4 linked regions of the Schizosaccharomyces pombe genome follow. The main gene of each other region encodes a partner of the protein of the gene in region 2 in a complex. Each region holds a gene or a part of one and is shown on either strand. Other genes may lie near its edges. The genes, in order: ssr4, rsc58, ssr3 and ssr2.

Region 1 (4,605 bases), on a different chromosome or scaffold from region 2:
TGCGATCAGACAACATTCTTGATATTGTTCTTCATTACCCCAATTCACTAGGCGCAATTGAAGACTTGCGTTTAGTTGCCCGTCAAAAACAGCAACGTCAATATTTAACCGAAACTTTTGTGAAAGATTGTACAAGTAGTATTTTGACCGCTAGCAGTGATAGCTCCTATATTCTTTTGTTCTATGTCTCTACCATTCGTTGTTTTGTTGCATTAGACCCCCCTGGTGTTCTTTTAGACAAAGCTGCCAAACCCATTCGTTCTTTTCTAAATGAACGAGAAGATGCATATAAATGCTTGGTTTCCTTATTGTTTGTTGACGGTGAAAAAGGCCTACGCTCTGAGCTTTCTCAAATTCCCACTGAAAACATCGACTCAACAACGGATCGATTTGATAATTACCACTGGATGCCGGATCCGATTGATGCGGCTCCTGACTTTAAAAAACCAACCGATAGAGACGTTGTTGGAAGTCTCATTTCCATTTTTAAAAGCAAGGAGCCCTTAGTGAAGGAATTACAATTGTTACTAGCTGATCGACTTTTACAACTTACAGATTATCATTATGAAGTTGAGGTTTGTTTTATTCTATTTAAGTTGAATTTTCTAACGTTTTTTAGGCAAAAAATATAGAGTTTTTAAAGTATCGATTTGGAGAGACTGTTCTGCAAATGTGTAGTGTTATGCTGAACGATATTGAGAATTCAAGATTTATTGATCAGAGCATCCACATGGAGAACTATGTTTCGAAAGGTTTGCACGTAACTATTTTATCAAGATTATTTTGGCCTACTTTGTCTGTTCGATATTTTCATTTACCTGGCCCTCTGAAAAAAGAACTCGATGCATATGCTGAAGAATACAGAGAAAGAAAGAGAAAAAGGGAGCTTGTTTTTTTACCCAACTTAGGATCGGTAGAGTTGGAAATTGAGCTTGAGGATAGAACACTCACGTTGACAGTTACACCGGAGCAAGCTGCCTTTATATCACTTTTTGAAGAGACTTCTACATTACATATTGAGAAAGCTGCTGAACTTTTAGATCAGCCGAAAGAAATAGTTGAGCGACATTTGAAATTTTGGCTTCATCATCGAGTGCTTACCGACATCGGCGACGACCGATATCGTGTTCGTGAAACTGAAGCCGAAACCGCGACAGAAACTGTACTTGATGAAATCCAAGGGGTATCAGCTGTTCAAAGTGAAGCCGAAAGCAGTGCCGCTGAGATGCGTGTTTACTGGTATGTTTCTTTATTAAAACTAAAATTTGTAATTAATAAAAAAAGGTCTTTTGTTGTAGGAATGTTGACGAACCTTGGAGCTCTTGAGCTTGAACGAATTCACAACATGCTCACGATGTTTATCCCACCGCCAAACGGCTATACTCGTACCCAGAGCGAGCTAAGAGAATTTCTAGCATTAATGATCAAAGAGGAAAAGTTGGAGTTTACTGGAGGAGCTTATAAGCTCAAATAATTAATGGCTATAGAATCCTTTGTCTGTTAAGAAAAGCCTTGGGATTTTTATGAACTTTTTTATGGACATCTCATTTAATTTTACGAAAACCATCACTTATACATTGCATGTCTATTGGCATATTGTCTACTAATGATTAGCAGCTAACTGTTACTATTTAAGTATGTCTTTACATTCATGCTCTTGTTTAGCTATTTACGATTCTACGATGGTTAAACGGATCTGATCAAGATAGTTGTAATGAACACAGAGACACTAGAGTATGTTTATACATTACCTAGAGTTTCGTATAGATACTGTAAATATTAGAAATTTCATTTAAACAGTGAAAACTGATGTAACATCGTTATATGAAATAGTGCAACAGAACAAAGCCAAAACTTCTGCATCTTGATAGATATGAGTAAGTTGTACCATCCAAAACTTACATATAATTAAAATCAACAATGGCGGCTACAATGGCAGCTCAGAGTCTATTATCGATTCCAGTGGAATACCGATCTCAGGTATGGTGTCGAGCGAATTTACCATATCCACCAGCACCACAATTACCAATCCCTGCTGTCGTAGATATATTAACAAAAGCGTCCCAGGCTTTACCACAGGTAGTTTTTAGAAGACTTCAATATATGTTTTTTCTAACAAATTTTAGATTTCATTTTCTTGGACTCTCATAGATCAACCACCAGATGGTTCCTTGTTTTTAGTTTGGCAAGCACCTACATTACCATCTCCACCAGATGGAATGCATTTTATGAGCAATGAAAGGTTTTTTAATATGGACGTTGCAGGAAAGGTAAGTTGCTCACAAGCACTGCGGTATAAGGGATCATTAAGCAATTGTCTAGGAACTTGCATATGTGTATCCCCGTTTATTTTAAAATAAATGCTTCAAATAAATTATTATTTTACTGAATTTATAAGTTTACTAATACAATACGATAGGTACTAGAAATTCATGAAGCAAAACACGGTTTTTATCCACTATCTGAAACTCGAACTATGCATGTTAGATGCCGATATCGATTATTAGGAGTTGGTTTTGATAATTTTTGGCTTGTACACTATTTTCAAGGTTCAGAAACTGATAGCATTCCTGCGAATATATCAGTTGCCAAACCACCTCATTTACGACGATACCCTTTACCAGACGTTAAAACTTCTCCATTTTTGCTTCAAGAACCAAAAAAACATATTCCAGAAGGTACAGCTTTATCACAGAGAGAAACCTTGCCAAATATGGGATCTGCTCAGATGAAGTCCCAATCAAGGACTCCATCGTTCTCTAATGTTACTACGTCTCCTGTTCCTCCTATCAATTCTAATGCAACAGCACAGACTGCAGAAGGACACATGGGTGCAACGAATATGACAGTCGATAACATGAACAAGCCATCCATTCCTCCAAATGGCAATACTTCAATTCTAATGCAAGAGGATTTAGAGATTGAAAAGGGTGATGTTATGGATAAACTTTCTCCGCAACAAATTTGTACGGCTCGATTTATCAAACACGCAGAATGGATGAGTCAAGTACTTTTGACACTTCAATCAGTCAAAGACATCGAACCTCCAGCACTATGGCAAGAACCTAATTCAATGGAAGAACTTGGTAAAGAGTTGAAAGATAACAAGGAGCAACTTGTAAAACAAGATCAGAAGTATCAAAGTCTCCAAGGTGATCTTTCCTACACTGATAGCATGTCCAACTTATTAAAAGAATTTTCCAACATCAAGTCGGCAGAAGAATGTGATGTCTTACAAAAAAAAATTGAGGAGTTCGCTGAAGCCAAAATCGTTCCTTTAAGTCACGTTACGGAAAGATCATAGAAGATTTAAAGTGTAGTATAGAAAAAACATGTTGAGGCTAATCAGAAAGAAGATTTGAAAAGTACGTACGTCCTACTTTAAAGCCTTGTCGCTTAATGATAGAATGCCATTGTCATTAGGGTAAACAAACAAGCACTGATATTCCTACATCGAATTTTTTTACCTTGTTTTAGGAGGATTGGGTGAAGGTGACAGAAAAATGAAATATTTTATAATGACAGGTAGATAGTTAAGAGTATGGTTCCGAATAATTTCATACATAGTATAAGGACGATGCGCTTCATATCAAAACTGGAATTTTGTTTGCCGATCTTCAACAAGCTTATTTAGTACTTCCCCTAGAGTCTTTTGTTTTTCCAGTAGTTCCAAGTATTCAACACGCATTGTCTGGAACATAGCCTTCCATTCGCTTTCCTGAATTTCCCAACTACTTTTTTTGACACAGCTTGACTCTAATTCTTCAATCTTTTTTTCTATTTTCTTATAAAGTTGTTTATCAGTTTCTAACGCTTCAGTTGCAGTTAAGAGCTCGTCTTTGTTCTGTTTACTGGTGGAAATCAATGCCTGGACCCCGGCAGCATAGCTCAAACTCGCACCTGCAAGAAACCCTACGATTCTAATAATTAGCAAGTAGTAATAGGCATATCATCACACACCCACTTCGTAGATACGACATCTTCATTCAATTGACTGTTCTAAGTACCATAGCCGTTTCTACCTTATTAAGACAGAACTCTCAGACCAGATATATGATAGTGCATTGCATAACGTTATTTGGTTTAATGAAGTTTAACTACGACTTCGTAGATGAAAGGACGGTGCTTCGTAATGAAGATGACAGGAACACAAACAGAGTCAGAGAGAATACATGCAGATAGGAGCTGCGACAGAAGGCGTAGAAGCTGACTTGTCGGTGAATGCTGAGCCCGATGTGAAGCCTATAGCGAAAATGCTGTCAGCTTGTGTAGGAAGTGTAATTACAACGCTGACTGTAACGCCTTTAGATGTTGTGAAAACCCGCTTGCAGAGTGAATCTATTTCTCAATATTCTTCTACGCAACCCATTTCTTCAGCAAAGATATTGGGGAAGGGAAGGCCAGCTCCAAAGCCTTTAGGAGGCCCGGTATCCGGACTTTATCAGATCGCTCGGCATGAAGGTGTTAGAAGCTTGTGGCGTGGATTAGTTCCTTCATTGACAATGCTCTTGCCAGCAAACACTGTACAGTTTCTTGGGTATGAGCAATTACTTCCCTTATACAGTGATTGGGGCTTTCCTGCTGCTGCTGCAATCGCAGGAGCAT
Region 2 (3,950 bases):
TCTCGGCGGTTGGCGTATATATTTAATTCTGCTCAAGTCAAGAGTACCTTGGTGTAGCCTGATAGTAACCTCCACAACCAAACGTAAACGATAAAAAAGTAAGCAAACAAGGGTTTAGTTGAAGCCTTCGTTTGCTGAAACCACGCTGCTTCAAAGAAAGGAGTGTCTTAGAAGATGGTGGTAAATCGCAAGACAAAACAAATGTGAGATTTTCATCTAATCAGTTACATATGTCAGTGGGGATTTCATAATGAATGACAACAATCCATGATGTATTTGGAACCAAAGTGACATTCTCACTACAACAAAAGCAGTTCCTTTCCTTTATTTAATGAGCTATTATGAGTTGCAAATTTTCTTAAGTAAACGCTTAGCGTAGAATGTTGACATTTTTTCAAGTATTGATTTTTGCATGTAAATTGTGTGAGAACGTCGATTTCTTTTTTCAATACTTGATTTATTGACGATTATGGTTTCTTCATATAGACATTTTTATCACTTCTTCTATTTATATCGCTGATCTTATGACAAACATAGTCTGAATTAAAATTATACTTCATATGAATTACTGAGCACTACGCTTCAAACATATGTGTATTGCTTTCACTGTGGTGTTTGGTAAACTGTTTTAATCCACCTCTGTTGTATGCTCTTGATCTAGCAGAACCCTTCAAAAAAAATAATTTGAGAAAATTGGCATCCTTTTTTTAGTCTTTGCCGTAACCCGATAATGTTTTCGTTGTTGTTTAGAAAAAATTGTCTTTTAGCAAGTGCTGGGCTATGGAATGTGGAGAGATTGCGAGTTGAAATTTGTTAACTTCTTTATATAAAAACAATGCTAGACTTTGTTTTCAAGAGCATTTCTGCTTCTTTAGCGAGCTAAGTATACGCAGGTACTGCTGTTAACTTAAAGCCATGGTTCAGTGTGTCAAAATATTTAATTTCATCAATTCTCCATCGTCTTTTCTGCTAGAAGATATTTTGATATGGGGGAAAACAAGAGCAAAAACACAAAAAAAAACAATCTTTGTTCTCTGTTCATGCTTTGTTTCTACCAATCGCCGAACTCTGAGCAATTGTGATGCTCAACTTGTTTAGTCGTCTATAAATAGTGTAATATAGACGCATAAAAATAATTTTATTTGAGACATCTATAATGATTCATTTATCAAGTATGTGTGTATATATATACAGTACAGAAATTTCTCTGAATTATCATAAACAAATTGCTATTGCGTACTGCAGTATCTAATAGTTCAGTTTTAAGCATTCCTCGCTAAGATAGGCTTGAAGTTTCGCTTGATCTATTATTCACTTTATGTACTCTATATAGAACTTATTCAGCAAGTTGCATAACATATTGCATAGTAATACATTAAACATTACAAACGCAGCATTAAACGTGCGTTATCACTTTCTAGTTGCTGAGGCTATTACTAGGATATTCAGAACATGGTAATCTACTGCAACTGGTTAGAATTGAAAGGGTTACTCGAAACAAATGATTTCTTATACTTAATGAGGTGTTGCTACATGTATGATACTGTTAGCTTGGTATCAAATGCACCTAACATTTACAGTATACCATTTTTCTATGATCGGATCTGCTACGATTACAAAAACATATTACTAAAATATGAACTTTTTATTATTTATTATTATTATTATCTTCTAATATGCCTATCACCCCATTTCTTTCCGATTAAAAGAATCCGTCCATTTCATGAAAACCCACTCCATTCTTTTGTTTACCGAATAATGATCTCTAGCGAGGCCTAGGGAATTTCGCAGATATCATTCGTTATATCGCCAACATCGAGTGTGCTTCCATCGCCAACGTACTAAAACTTCGGTGCTAGCATAGCTCACATCAACAAGGTAGTCAAAGGTGCAAAGTGAAGAGAACATAATAGATTGTTCCGCGCAAAGTACCTAGGTTGCCCGAAAAAACTAAGACATTACAATTTGCATGGTTTCAAAAAAGAAATTTTTTGGTTTTTATCGATCTGGGCATATTTTGAGTATTTGAAACGCATTACCGTTATCCGGCCTTTTTTGATAGCAATTCGTAAAACAAACTCGGCAATGAATGCTGAAAGTTGCTCCTTAATTCTTTCCTATATCTCTTCTGCACCTGCGGGCAATCTAGTATTGAATTGCACTGCTACCACAAACAAGCAAACCCTCGAGGCAAACTTAAAGTCCGCTGTTTATCAAAGGTACCCAGAGTTTCTAGAAGATTGGACGAATGTATGCGTGCATATAATTCATTCCTACTTTCCAAAAGATGCTGATTATTGGAATGTCGACAAATTATATACATCGGTGAACCGAATTACCACACTCGAACAAAGTAAAGTTGTTGGGAAAGAAATAAAAAATGGCTTCACTTTTGATGCTGAAAATTCAACCGCTTCATTGGAAAATGGTAAGTTAAAATGAAAATGTTTTTCTTTTCTTTTTATTTTTTTTTTATTTATAGACTTTACTAATTTAGTCAAGATTTACAACCACAATTCAGGTCACACGCTTTGTTTATGGTCGGTTCTGCTGGTCCTTTGTTCAGTTCTACTGCTCGAACTTCCCGATTAGACAGTCGATTACCAGATGGAGGAATAATTGCAAAGCCAGTTGCCCTTTTGCCAACTCCATCCGTTGCTAATTCCCAAGAGTACACCTTGGATAAGTTATCCCCCCCCTCAACCGCCAAACCTCCTGCATCAGTTATAGAATTTAATCCTTCATTGGCTAAACTTCCTACTGTGAAGTACCTACAGTCTGGCCCCTTCTCCTCAATTGCTCCTTACAAAAATTCATCTTCTTCTGTTATTCCTGATTCTTCATTTCATTCTGTTGCTTGTTATCGGGCATCTAGTCATTACAAAGAGGCACCTGTCGAGAAGTCAATCGATATTGACATCATTCAAAACAATTTGAGTCTATTAGAAGAAGACTCATGGACTTCTGTACCTATTCAAGGGGAACTTGTTGAATTGAATAAGTTACTACAGCATCTTCAACTGCTTCAAAATCAAAGAATCACATCTCATAACGTACTCTCCGATGAGGAGCGCCAAATATCTGTGCAAGTACAAAACTTGATACTTAAGTTAGCAAAAGATTACGATATGTCTCCAGAAGATTTTCTTATGGACGATTTTACTCTTTCACTCACTCAATATGGCGCCTTTTATCGTGGAACTCTTCCTCTTAGTGCACAACCGCTGGAGCTTCCTTCACAGCAACTGCTACGCTCCCAGTCCAATGCTGCTTTACGGAGCAATTCCCTATCAATGAACGGCTCCTTAAGTCCAAGCTCTACAAATGTTCCTTTACAGTCTTATCGACGGACTACAAAATCACGTAGATGAATTCGTTCTCTATTTCCATGGTGTTACTTAAAGATTTTAGTTTAACTAATTAATAGATGTATATACATACATATATATATATATATTACCTTATTTATATCTCAATATATTGATGTATTTTTGAAACTTTTTTGTTCAACCACCCAAAAGCTAAATACCGATAAAACATGCCGATACCTTATCACTATTGCTTTGTTGCTTCAGAGAGTTGTCATTTCTAAACAACCCAAATCGTTTATTTACCAACGACAGATGTCGAATCAGTCGTCTTCTGGTTCGAATACTTCTGATTTGGATGAAGAATCAGCGAGTAGTCTTGTGAGCTCTGCTGCATCACCATTTATTGATTCTGATCTCGAAACACCAAGACCCAATATTTCAAGAGCTTCAACAGGACAACTTGCAGAAGACGGTGACACATCAAGTCAACATGAAGATTCCTCAGAGGAGTTAAAGCGTCAAGAAGTAAGGGGAATGCGTAGGCACAGTGACCTTTCAATTGATGCGAAATTAGGCTCTTCTGAAGGCTCAACTGCTTCTTCAGCATTACCTTTGACACCTCGTTCTCCTTCTAATGCC
Region 3 (4,807 bases), 250 kb from region 2:
AGCGTTGCTTCCGGTAAAGGAATGTTTCACTAACAATATTCTTACAAATGTAAAAACATTTGAAGATGTTTTGAAGACTTTGTCCGACGATAGTTAAGATTATCCTGAACCTTTAATCAGACTTCAATGGACAAGTCTATTAAGAACTGATTTCTTTTAACAAGTGTTTACACGCACAATTGAATCAGTGTACTATTTATGCTTATGGAAATCTTGGAATTACAATAGAGGTTGGGTATAAGTTTATCTGCTACAAGCTCGAAAGCGATCTTGAAAATAAAGATCGATATAAGCCTCTTAAAGAGCCTCTCGTTACCTTGCCCAATAAAAAATACAGTGTATTCGTTATAAATCGGTAATAGGGAAAGGTAAGGGTTTAATCTTAAGTTCCTAAACTTGCTAGTAAAGAACGTATTGATAACTACCAACATTTTTAATACAATATTAAGCATAGTTATTGTAGTAGTATTCTTTCATGGATTTAAATAATCCTCCTTCAAAACGCTTTGGAGATGACGATGATATTCCTGCTAACAAACGCCCCAAAAATGAAGAGTATCCAGAAATTCCAGGTTATTTAGGTAATCGAAAACCTTCTTATACCCAAAATCCTAATTCAGGGCCTGGAAAATTACATTATGCATCTCCACGACCAAATAATGTATCATCAAGCGTTGGAGTGGCAAGCGGCGGCGACAGGCAAGAGGCAGATCAGCTTCAGGATGCTCTTATTTCATGTGGTATTCAATTAAAAGAAGAGGAATTGAATTTGTCTACTTCCTTTTATGACCCTTCATCTCTAAATACATTCGCGCTTACTACCGAAGACCGTTCAAGAAAGTCAGACTTCTTAAATTCTTTTGTGTTGATGCAAACAGTTAGCAACATTGTAAACTTACATCGTTTAAAAAGCATGGATTCTGATATTCATGCTCTAATATCTATGGCAGTCCGTGATTATCTGGCAAATTTGTTGCAAAAAATGATTGTTGAAAGCCATCACCGGACTTCACAGTTGCATACTGATAATTACAAACAAGTTGACAACGTGCGCCAGACTCTTGCCAATTTTGCTTATAAGGAGTACGAAAGTGAGGAGAGAAGACGTACAGTATTGAATATTCGTAGAGCAGAGCATGAAGCTCGTTTGGCTGAACTTAATTCGGCTTCCACTAATGAAGAAGGATCGAGTCGACGTAGAAAAGAACAAAGCTCTTCCGCTGCAGCAAAAAATATATCTGAAGATGCGCAAAACAGAATGACTAACGCTACTGCAAGCATCATGGCTGGTAGTGCACTACCATCCGGTGGTAAAAAGTACTCGTGGATGGCAACTGATATGACTCCAATGACTCCTGCAGTTGGAGGTGGATTTGGTATTCGGAAAAAGGATTCTAATTCTCTTAAGCCCTCCTCCCGTGATGGTGTTTTGCCCTTACAACAAGAAGAAAAAGGTATAATTACTATTAGGGACGCATTAGCGGTTCTTGAAATGGATAGAGAAGGTGCTGGGCGTATTTTTGGTAGGGGTGCTAAGGCAATGATGCGTGCTTACATTAGGCTAAAAGATTAAACTTATGAATTTAATATGGCCTTAAAAAGTTATGACTAACTCATTTATTTATCTCGGGGATTCATTTATAAAACCCCTTCCTCCTATTTGAGTGGATTATTGTTCAGGACAACCGATGACTTTTTAAACACGATAATTGCATTAGGTCAAGTCAGGCGGAATACAATGTTTTGTTCTATCGAAATCAATTTTGGATTTCCTATGATGTATTTTTCTTAAATGAAACGAAGAATAAGCTCTTTTTTTTATTCTGGTTATATGTAATTTTTTTTTAATTTGTAAATAATATACACGTTTGTGACACACGCAGGAATATACCGTTGCTTTCTACTGGTAACGTAGTAATAGTCTATCACTTCTTAGCAGAAGCATTTAAAACGCTTTGCTGCTTTTTGCTATTTAGTAAATTAAGATAATGAAATGCACTCTCATGTACCCAGGGTTGTTGATAATAATCAGCACTTCTTTTTTCTGCATAATTCATATTTGTGCCATCCAAAACGATTTCTAAATCTCGGCTCTGGGATTCAATCCATTCGTTAATAAATTCAATTGGACTCTCCGAAAATTTCTTCATGAAATCATACTTCGACTGTGAGTAAGTGATAGCTTGAATTAACTCGGTAAGCTTATCGTCAATACTTCTGATTTTATCTTGCGACATCATCGTAGCAAGGAAAGAGCGAATTTGGCTGTGCCTAGGATCTTCCGTGTTGATACGGATATCAAAAATTGTAACTTTTTCAACAGTATGTTCACTGACATTAATGGTATACGGTATAACAATGGGATCAATAGGTTCGAGAAATCTATTCATAAGCTCAGGAATTCTAGGGAAGTAAAGACGATCTGCTTCAAATAAATCCCTTAATGCCTTATCACAGTTAATTAATCTTTTCTCCTCCATGTCTTGCAAGCGATGGAACTTGATGTATTGCCAAAGGTAGCTAACGATGTCAGGACGAGTGCCCTCACGAATACCCAGTATATTAGCAAAGGCTTTTGAAAGTTTATATCGTTCAGGATGCTCTTCAGGGTATAACATAATTTTGACATCTACGGATTGGTCGCCTTTTCTCGTAACGGTAATGCCGTTAGATGTATTAGAGTTATCCGGAAGTTTATTCCATTCAACATAATTACCACTAGGATAGAGATCATCTGATCGTAAAATTTGGATAGCAATTTTACGGAAAAAGTTGGTGAAAGGTGCTAATTCAAAAGCTTTATCGTCTTCGTCGTCAGGATTAACGAGTAGTCTACCTTCAATATGGAGAGTCCATTCAGGTATGGGAAGGGAGTTAATGTCGCCAGAATTATTCTCTTGATTTTCTCCCTTTTGTTGCCATGATTGATTCGCAACAGTGGAATGTATGTACATACGAAGAATCCTGGTTTTGTGAGAGTTTCGACTTAAGGAATCCTGTAAATCAAATCGTTTCCGAACGATTAATGAATCCAATTTTCTTTCTAAATCTTGAAGAGCAATATAATCTTCTGCTTCTGGGATTTTTTCAAGCAATGAGTCTGGAATTTCTCTTTCAATAATTCTCATACTCTTCTTCAACTCTGCGTCTTCTCCGTTACCGCTTTGTACACCATTCTCTGGTAAACGGCTATTATTAGACATGATAAGCTGTCCTTATTCAAGCTCCTCTCAAATATGCGGCAATCCGAACCGATCAATAATCTTCGATATTTGGTGGACGTGAAGTGGTGGACCCAAATACCATTTAGTATCTATCTGCTTCCAACAGCTGAGCACCGTTAACTGAAATACTAGGAATTACATATCATTTCTTTTGTATATGAATTATTCAATTGTATCTCGATTTTCGAGCGTTGTCGATATAAAAGCAGTTAGTATATCGAAACCATAAGATGCTTTGCTGATCACTCATTCACGACGCTAACAAGTTTATCAACGTATTTTTCACTAAAAAAAAAACAATCATTTCTATAATAATTAGTTATTAACTTTACTTTGAGTATAAACACATACATATACACACCTGACTAACTTGCTGTAATATAAAGTTACAATGTTACCCATCCAGCAGTAGCTTCATCTCTCGCATAATTCCATGCTGGAAGCACTTTGAAATAACCATCATCATCATGTCTAGCAAATCTAGCCTTGAATTAGCAAACAATGCAGTAAAAAGCAACGATATCGAAAAGGCGATTGATTTGTATAAAGAAGTTCTTAATAAAGGAGTTAGTAAAGACGAAAAAGTTGCGAATGAACAGGAACAAGCTCTCACTAACTTGAGCGATTTATACGTTCGTGAAAAGTATGTAAATTCTAAATAAAGGAACAGTTATGCCTCAAGATAACTAACATTTATTTCTCTAGTCGCCATAATGATTTGGCTCAGTTGGTTCAACAAAGTCGTCCGCTGATGGCTAACTTCTCGAAAGCCAAGTCTGCTAAAATTGGTAAGTATCAATGTCTATTGTGTTAACAACCTAACACCATTTTAGTCCGAACATTAATTGATAAATTCTCTGGCGAAAAGAAGTCTTTGCCTTTACAAATCGAAGTTGCTAACGATTGTATCAAATGGGCTATTAAAGAAAAGCGTACATTTTTGCGTCAAGCTTTAGAGACGAAATTAATTTCCTTATATTATGACAACTCATCTTACACTGATGCCATCAATCTCATTAATACTCTTTTGTCAGAGCTCAAACGAATGGACGACAAAATGCTTTTGACCGAAGTTCATTTGTTGGAATCGAAAGTTTATCACGCAATTAGAAATATACCAAAAGCTCGTGCTTCATTAACAGCTGCTAAAACTTCTGCTAATGCTGTTTATTGCCCTCCGATGCTTCAGGGGAACTTAGATTTGCAAAGTGGTATTTTACATGCTGACGATATGGATTTCAAGACTGCTTATTCATACTTTTATGAGGCTTATGAGGGATTCACGTCGCTTGATGATGATAAAAAAGCCCTTTCATCTTTAAAATACATGTTGTTATCTCAAATTATGCTTAATTCTGTTTCCGAAGTCAAATCTTTATTAACAGGAAAGCACGCAATTCGGTACGCTGGTAGAGATATTGAAGCTATGCGTGCGATTGCTCAGGCTCATGAAAATCGATCCCTGGCTGATTTTGAAAAGGCTTTGCAAGACTATAAACCTGAACTGGCTTCCGATCCAATCATCAGATCTCATTTAAGTAGTCTCTATGATAACTTGCTTGAGCAAAACTTACTTCGTGTTG
Region 4 (3,910 bases), 1.9 Mb from region 2:
AGGTACTAATGGGTATGTATCTTGGTTTGTCGGTCCAAACTATACTTGGTCGATGCTTGGCAGCGCCGTCGGTCAAAATGGAAATGTCGGACCTCGTCAAATTAGTGAGGAGCCAATGTCTATTATTTTCAACCTTGGAATATCAAACAATTGGGCTTATTATTACTTCCGGGATCTTTCATTTCCTGCAGTGATGTACATAGATTACATTCGTATCTATCAAGACCCTGATGACACCAACTCACATATCGGATGTGATCCCCCCGGCTATCCTACTACCAAGTATATTGAAGAACATCCGTTAGCATACAAAAATCCAAATGCTACAACTTGGGAAATGGCTGGTTATACATGGCCTAAGAATTCTTTAATGCATAAATGTAACACTTAATTGCCATTATGATCATATTTTATATGAATTATCTATATATTTAAGATGCATTTCAGTTATATAACAATTAGAATTTAATGTTCATTTTTTTTTCTTTTTCAAAAAAAAAATTTAGATTACATATATATATGTCTATAAAAACTAGATAGCCAAAAGAACTTCATGCAGAATACAAATTTGAATTTGGTGAACCTAACTTATAAAGCAATTGTACGAAATTTATCGGGATATTGCTTACTTAAAGGAGAAACGGTTGTTGCCGTAGGCATCTCAAATGTCAATAATGCTTCTGCATGTTCTGTACTCATTAAATCGTCAATTATTTTCAAACCATCTTCACCGCCCAAATTAACAGCTTCTTCCAATTTCTTGTTAAACGCAAGAAGCATTTTTTTAGTAGACAAACGACTTAGTAGTAAGTTTTTTCCACGAAGATCGAGTTCAGATAATTCTAAAGAACACATCTTTTCGAGTTGTTCAAGCACCTTCATTTTAAGCTGTAACTTCTCAAGCTGAGCCTGGATTAACGAAAAAACCAAGCGTCGAAGCTGGCGATTTTCAAACGCTGCAATCAATTTTGCTTTTTGAGCAGCAGATTTTAAAGCATAATAAGCAACCCTCTCTAGTGGGTTTTTAAACTCGGAATTCCCAAAGGAGGTTTCTCCTTGTTTCACTGATTCATTTTGCTTGCGCTCTTTCATGCCTTGTTGAACAATGGAAGCCAAATATGTTAAAGTACTTAAAACTGGATTTTCATTTTCATCAAAGGGCAAAAATCCCTTTTTAAATGGGGAAAAGTCACCCTGAAGTTTCTGTCGATAGGGATCCTCTATAGGAATCTGGAGGAAATGAATCAAGCATTGCTCTTTAGTTCGTGATCCAACATGTAAAGCTATTTGATTCCAGTCGTCTCCATAAGTTTCAATAGCTTCTAATAAAAGCAAAGTTTCTTGGTTAGACCATGGTTTTTCCTCGTCGTGATTGAAATCAATCGCATCCATGCACAAAAAATCAGAGGAATTAAAGGAAGAAGAAAACCTCCCTTGTTTATAACAGTTTGGACAGATGTCATATTTTTTGTTTTTTAAGTTGTGATACCAAGTTTGAGAGCAATTAACACCGCAAGTGAAACAAACTTTATCGACTCGAGGGACTTTGTCGCTTTTTTCATCTTCTTCTTTGGGAGAGGTTTGTTCCATTGCATTTAAACTAGGGCTGTAATGCTTTTCTTCTAATTTAACAAATTCTTGGCTCGAAGATCCACCGACGGTACTAGGAGGAGGGTGTTGAGCTAACATTTCTTGCGTGACGATTGGAGTATTACTAATAGCTTGAACATGTCCTGAAATAGGAGGAAGTCGGAATGCAGGTCGCGTTTCAGGATCGATTTGATAGTTAATTAAGCCCCACTGTTCGAGAAATGCATGCACGCGAATTATAGCACAAACATCACCAACAAGATTTCGACGACATGCAGTAACTGTCAGGTATTCATTTGGTTCTAAACGATATGAATTAATCATAAAATCTCTATAGTCCTTGTATATAGAAGGAGTTTTGAGAGGAGATTTTCCATTAAAAAATTCGGGATTCGACCTTCGCTCAATATCGTGTATTTTCGACATGTCAAACCATCCTGCATAAGAAGGAACAATGATGGGATAAGTTTGTTCCACCAGAAAGGGTATGCGAACTTGATCGAGAGTCATCGTGAAGGTCTGATTTTTGAATAGTCCACTCACGAAAAAAATGTAATACCCACAAAATTAAGTTGTTTTTAAGTTGTAACACACTTGAAAAGTTAAGAAAGAGGCCTTAATAATAAAAATTATAAATACAAGAGAAATAGCACAATTGCCATTTAATAAATTAGAGCACTAGTTGTTGACAAGTCGTCCGGCTATACTCATTTACAAGTTACGGTGCATTTTGATAAACGTGTTTTAAGAAACAATAGCTTAACTACATATTAAGGCCATTTCGCTATATTTAATTCGACACGCTAATTATCACTATGTTTTTTCCTAATAAAAAGTTACGTTAGTTAATGGATACAACAAAAGAATTTGTAGTAATTGAATGAATATAAGGTGGGTCTATGGGTACGAATGGTAAATTGACGATCTTATATTATAAGCCAGAGAACATTTGAGACTGTTACACGCATATATCGAGGGCTATCCTTCTTAGAATATCACTCTACTTTATTCGGATAACTCAAGTTTTCAAGTCAAAAGAAAGCATCTAGAAAATGATTGTTCTTAGTTACATACTTTTGTCGAAAAGCTGAAACTGTCACAAATCTTCTGATTTTTTGTGAAAAAATCTAATTTCTATAAGAAAAAAACAAGGGACCAACCGGATTTGAACCAGTGACCTGGGGATCTGCAATCCCTCACTCTAACCACTGAGCTATGACCCCTTGCGACAATTGCAAGGCAAAAAATGAATTATAAGATCTTTTTACGATTTTATTAAGTTGAGCAATTAGAAATCAAAGTTTCCGCTAAGGCTCGAAAGAGAATCTTGCCAAGCTTTGAATATATTTATAAAGGTTGCTTTAAATAGCGCGAACGCAACTATCTGAACAATTTTTAACGGAAACCGCTTCAGCAGTAAGAAGAAAATATTTCTATTTTAGCATTCAAAATGCAGTTACTAAGTATGATTGATTTCAAGGCTTATTATAAACCGGCATTTTACAATGTACTTAGTAATTTATGGAGATGAGAACTCCTTAAAATATAGCTTCGTGATCCTTCAAATCCTATCCAACTCAATTTACTTGAAAAATTTGAAATTTCCGGCGCTCGTTAATTATCAAACTGAAAAACCAGCTAAAAGAATGCGGGCATTATTCACCGAATAGCCTCAAAGTATCTAACGATATCGATAAGTTATCTACAGGTGCAAAACTTCCACTGTTATAATTGTAACTTTTTCAAGCGGGCTTCGGTTAACAGAATTTTATAAACATGTACAAATTGCTCATTTCCTAAGCAATCCAGAATTTTGCCTTCACCGACAAATTACTGATGAGGATCACGGCGAAATGGCAAACTTGAAAAATGTAAATTGCATCTTGCTTCGAAAGCTATTTCACGCTAAATTAATAATTTTATAGTAAAAGAATAAACAATGCTGATCTCAAAATTTGTATACATTTGATAAAAAGGCATAATTTTGTTGGGTTCGATGCTTAGTAATAAAATTATAGTTCGAGAATATATGGTTACTATATGGCTAGAGAAAAATGATATTTTTTGATTATTTTGCGATTATATGTGTTGCCAAATTATAAAGCCTGCTATATCCTGGCGGATCTAATTTCTTACTCCGGGCGCTCACAACATTTTGGCAGTTTATTCCGTTATCCATTAAAGTGGTAAATTTTTTGGAATGGTTTGAAAGTTAACCTTAACCATCTCCCAGTTGTGGCACCAACACCAACAATTTGGTATTTTTGTATAATTATCAATTTATAAGTTTTATTTATAATTGATATTTTGAAAAAAAAGT

The links.
Region 1: rsc58 (region 2) and ssr4 share a complex: the UniProt entries of both Schizosaccharomyces pombe proteins name them as parts of the RSC complex.
Region 3: rsc58 (region 2) and ssr3 share a complex: the UniProt entries of both Schizosaccharomyces pombe proteins name them as parts of the RSC complex.
Region 4: rsc58 (region 2) and ssr2 share a complex: the UniProt entries of both Schizosaccharomyces pombe proteins name them as parts of the RSC complex.

What each region holds. Positions count from the first base shown.
Region 1 is NC_003423.3:2,001,796-2,006,400, forward strand, and holds ssr4 (SWI/SNF and RSC complex subunit Ssr4), read left to right. Parts: upstream 1-1,900; 5' UTR 1,901-1,920; coding exon 1,921-2,079; intron 2,080-2,126; coding exon 2,127-2,270; intron 2,271-2,293; exon of another isoform or gene 2,294-2,419; coding exon 2,420-3,304; 3' UTR 3,305-3,589; coding exon of another isoform or gene 3,590-3,920; 3' UTR 3,921-3,960; coding exon of another isoform or gene 3,961-3,986; 3' UTR 3,987-4,067; downstream 4,068-4,605. Other genes in the region: anaphase-promoting complex cullin family subunit Apc2, read left to right, coding at 1-575, 620-1,239, 1,285-1,474; SPOM_SPBP23A10.17 (uncharacterized protein), read right to left, coding at 3,590-3,920, 3,961-3,986; mtm1 (Mn(2+) ion transporter), read left to right, coding at 4,173-4,605. UniProt on the Schizosaccharomyces pombe protein: Component of the chromatin structure remodeling complex (RSC), which is involved in transcription regulation and nucleosome positioning. Controls particularly membrane and organelle development genes.
Region 2 is NC_003424.3:630,977-634,926, reverse strand, and holds rsc58 (RSC complex subunit Rsc58), read left to right. Parts: upstream 1-1,872; 5' UTR 1,873-2,085; coding exon 2,086-2,428; intron 2,429-2,502; coding exon 2,503-3,371; 3' UTR 3,372-3,416; downstream 3,417-3,950. Other genes in the region: SPOM_SPAC1F3.08C (uncharacterized protein), read left to right, coding at 1,453-1,779; mitotic and meiotic spindle pole body protein, gamma tubulin complex linker-related Spo15, read left to right, coding at 3,624-3,950. UniProt on the Schizosaccharomyces pombe protein: Component of the chromatin structure remodeling complex (RSC), which is involved in transcription regulation and nucleosome positioning. Controls particularly membrane and organelle development genes.
Region 3 is NC_003424.3:883,970-888,776, forward strand, and holds ssr3 (SWI/SNF and RSC complex subunit Ssr3), read right to left. Parts: upstream 3,284-4,807; 5' UTR 3,204-3,283; coding exon 1,926-3,203; 3' UTR 1,574-1,925; downstream 1-1,573. Other genes in the region: transcription factor TFIID complex subunit Taf4, read left to right, coding at 476-1,573; proteasome regulatory subunit Rpn6, read left to right, coding at 3,692-3,867, 3,930-4,012, 4,058-4,807. UniProt on the Schizosaccharomyces pombe protein: Component of the chromatin structure remodeling complex (RSC), which is involved in transcription regulation and nucleosome positioning. Controls particularly membrane and organelle development genes.
Region 4 is NC_003424.3:2,509,441-2,513,350, reverse strand, and holds ssr2 (SWI/SNF and RSC complex subunit Ssr2), read right to left. Parts: upstream 2,271-3,910; 5' UTR 2,101-2,270; coding exon 589-2,100; 3' UTR 505-588; downstream 1-504. Other genes in the region: SPOM_SPAC23H3.11C (glucosidase), read left to right, coding at 1-391. UniProt on the Schizosaccharomyces pombe protein: Component of the chromatin structure remodeling complex (RSC), which is involved in transcription regulation and nucleosome positioning. Controls particularly membrane and organelle development genes.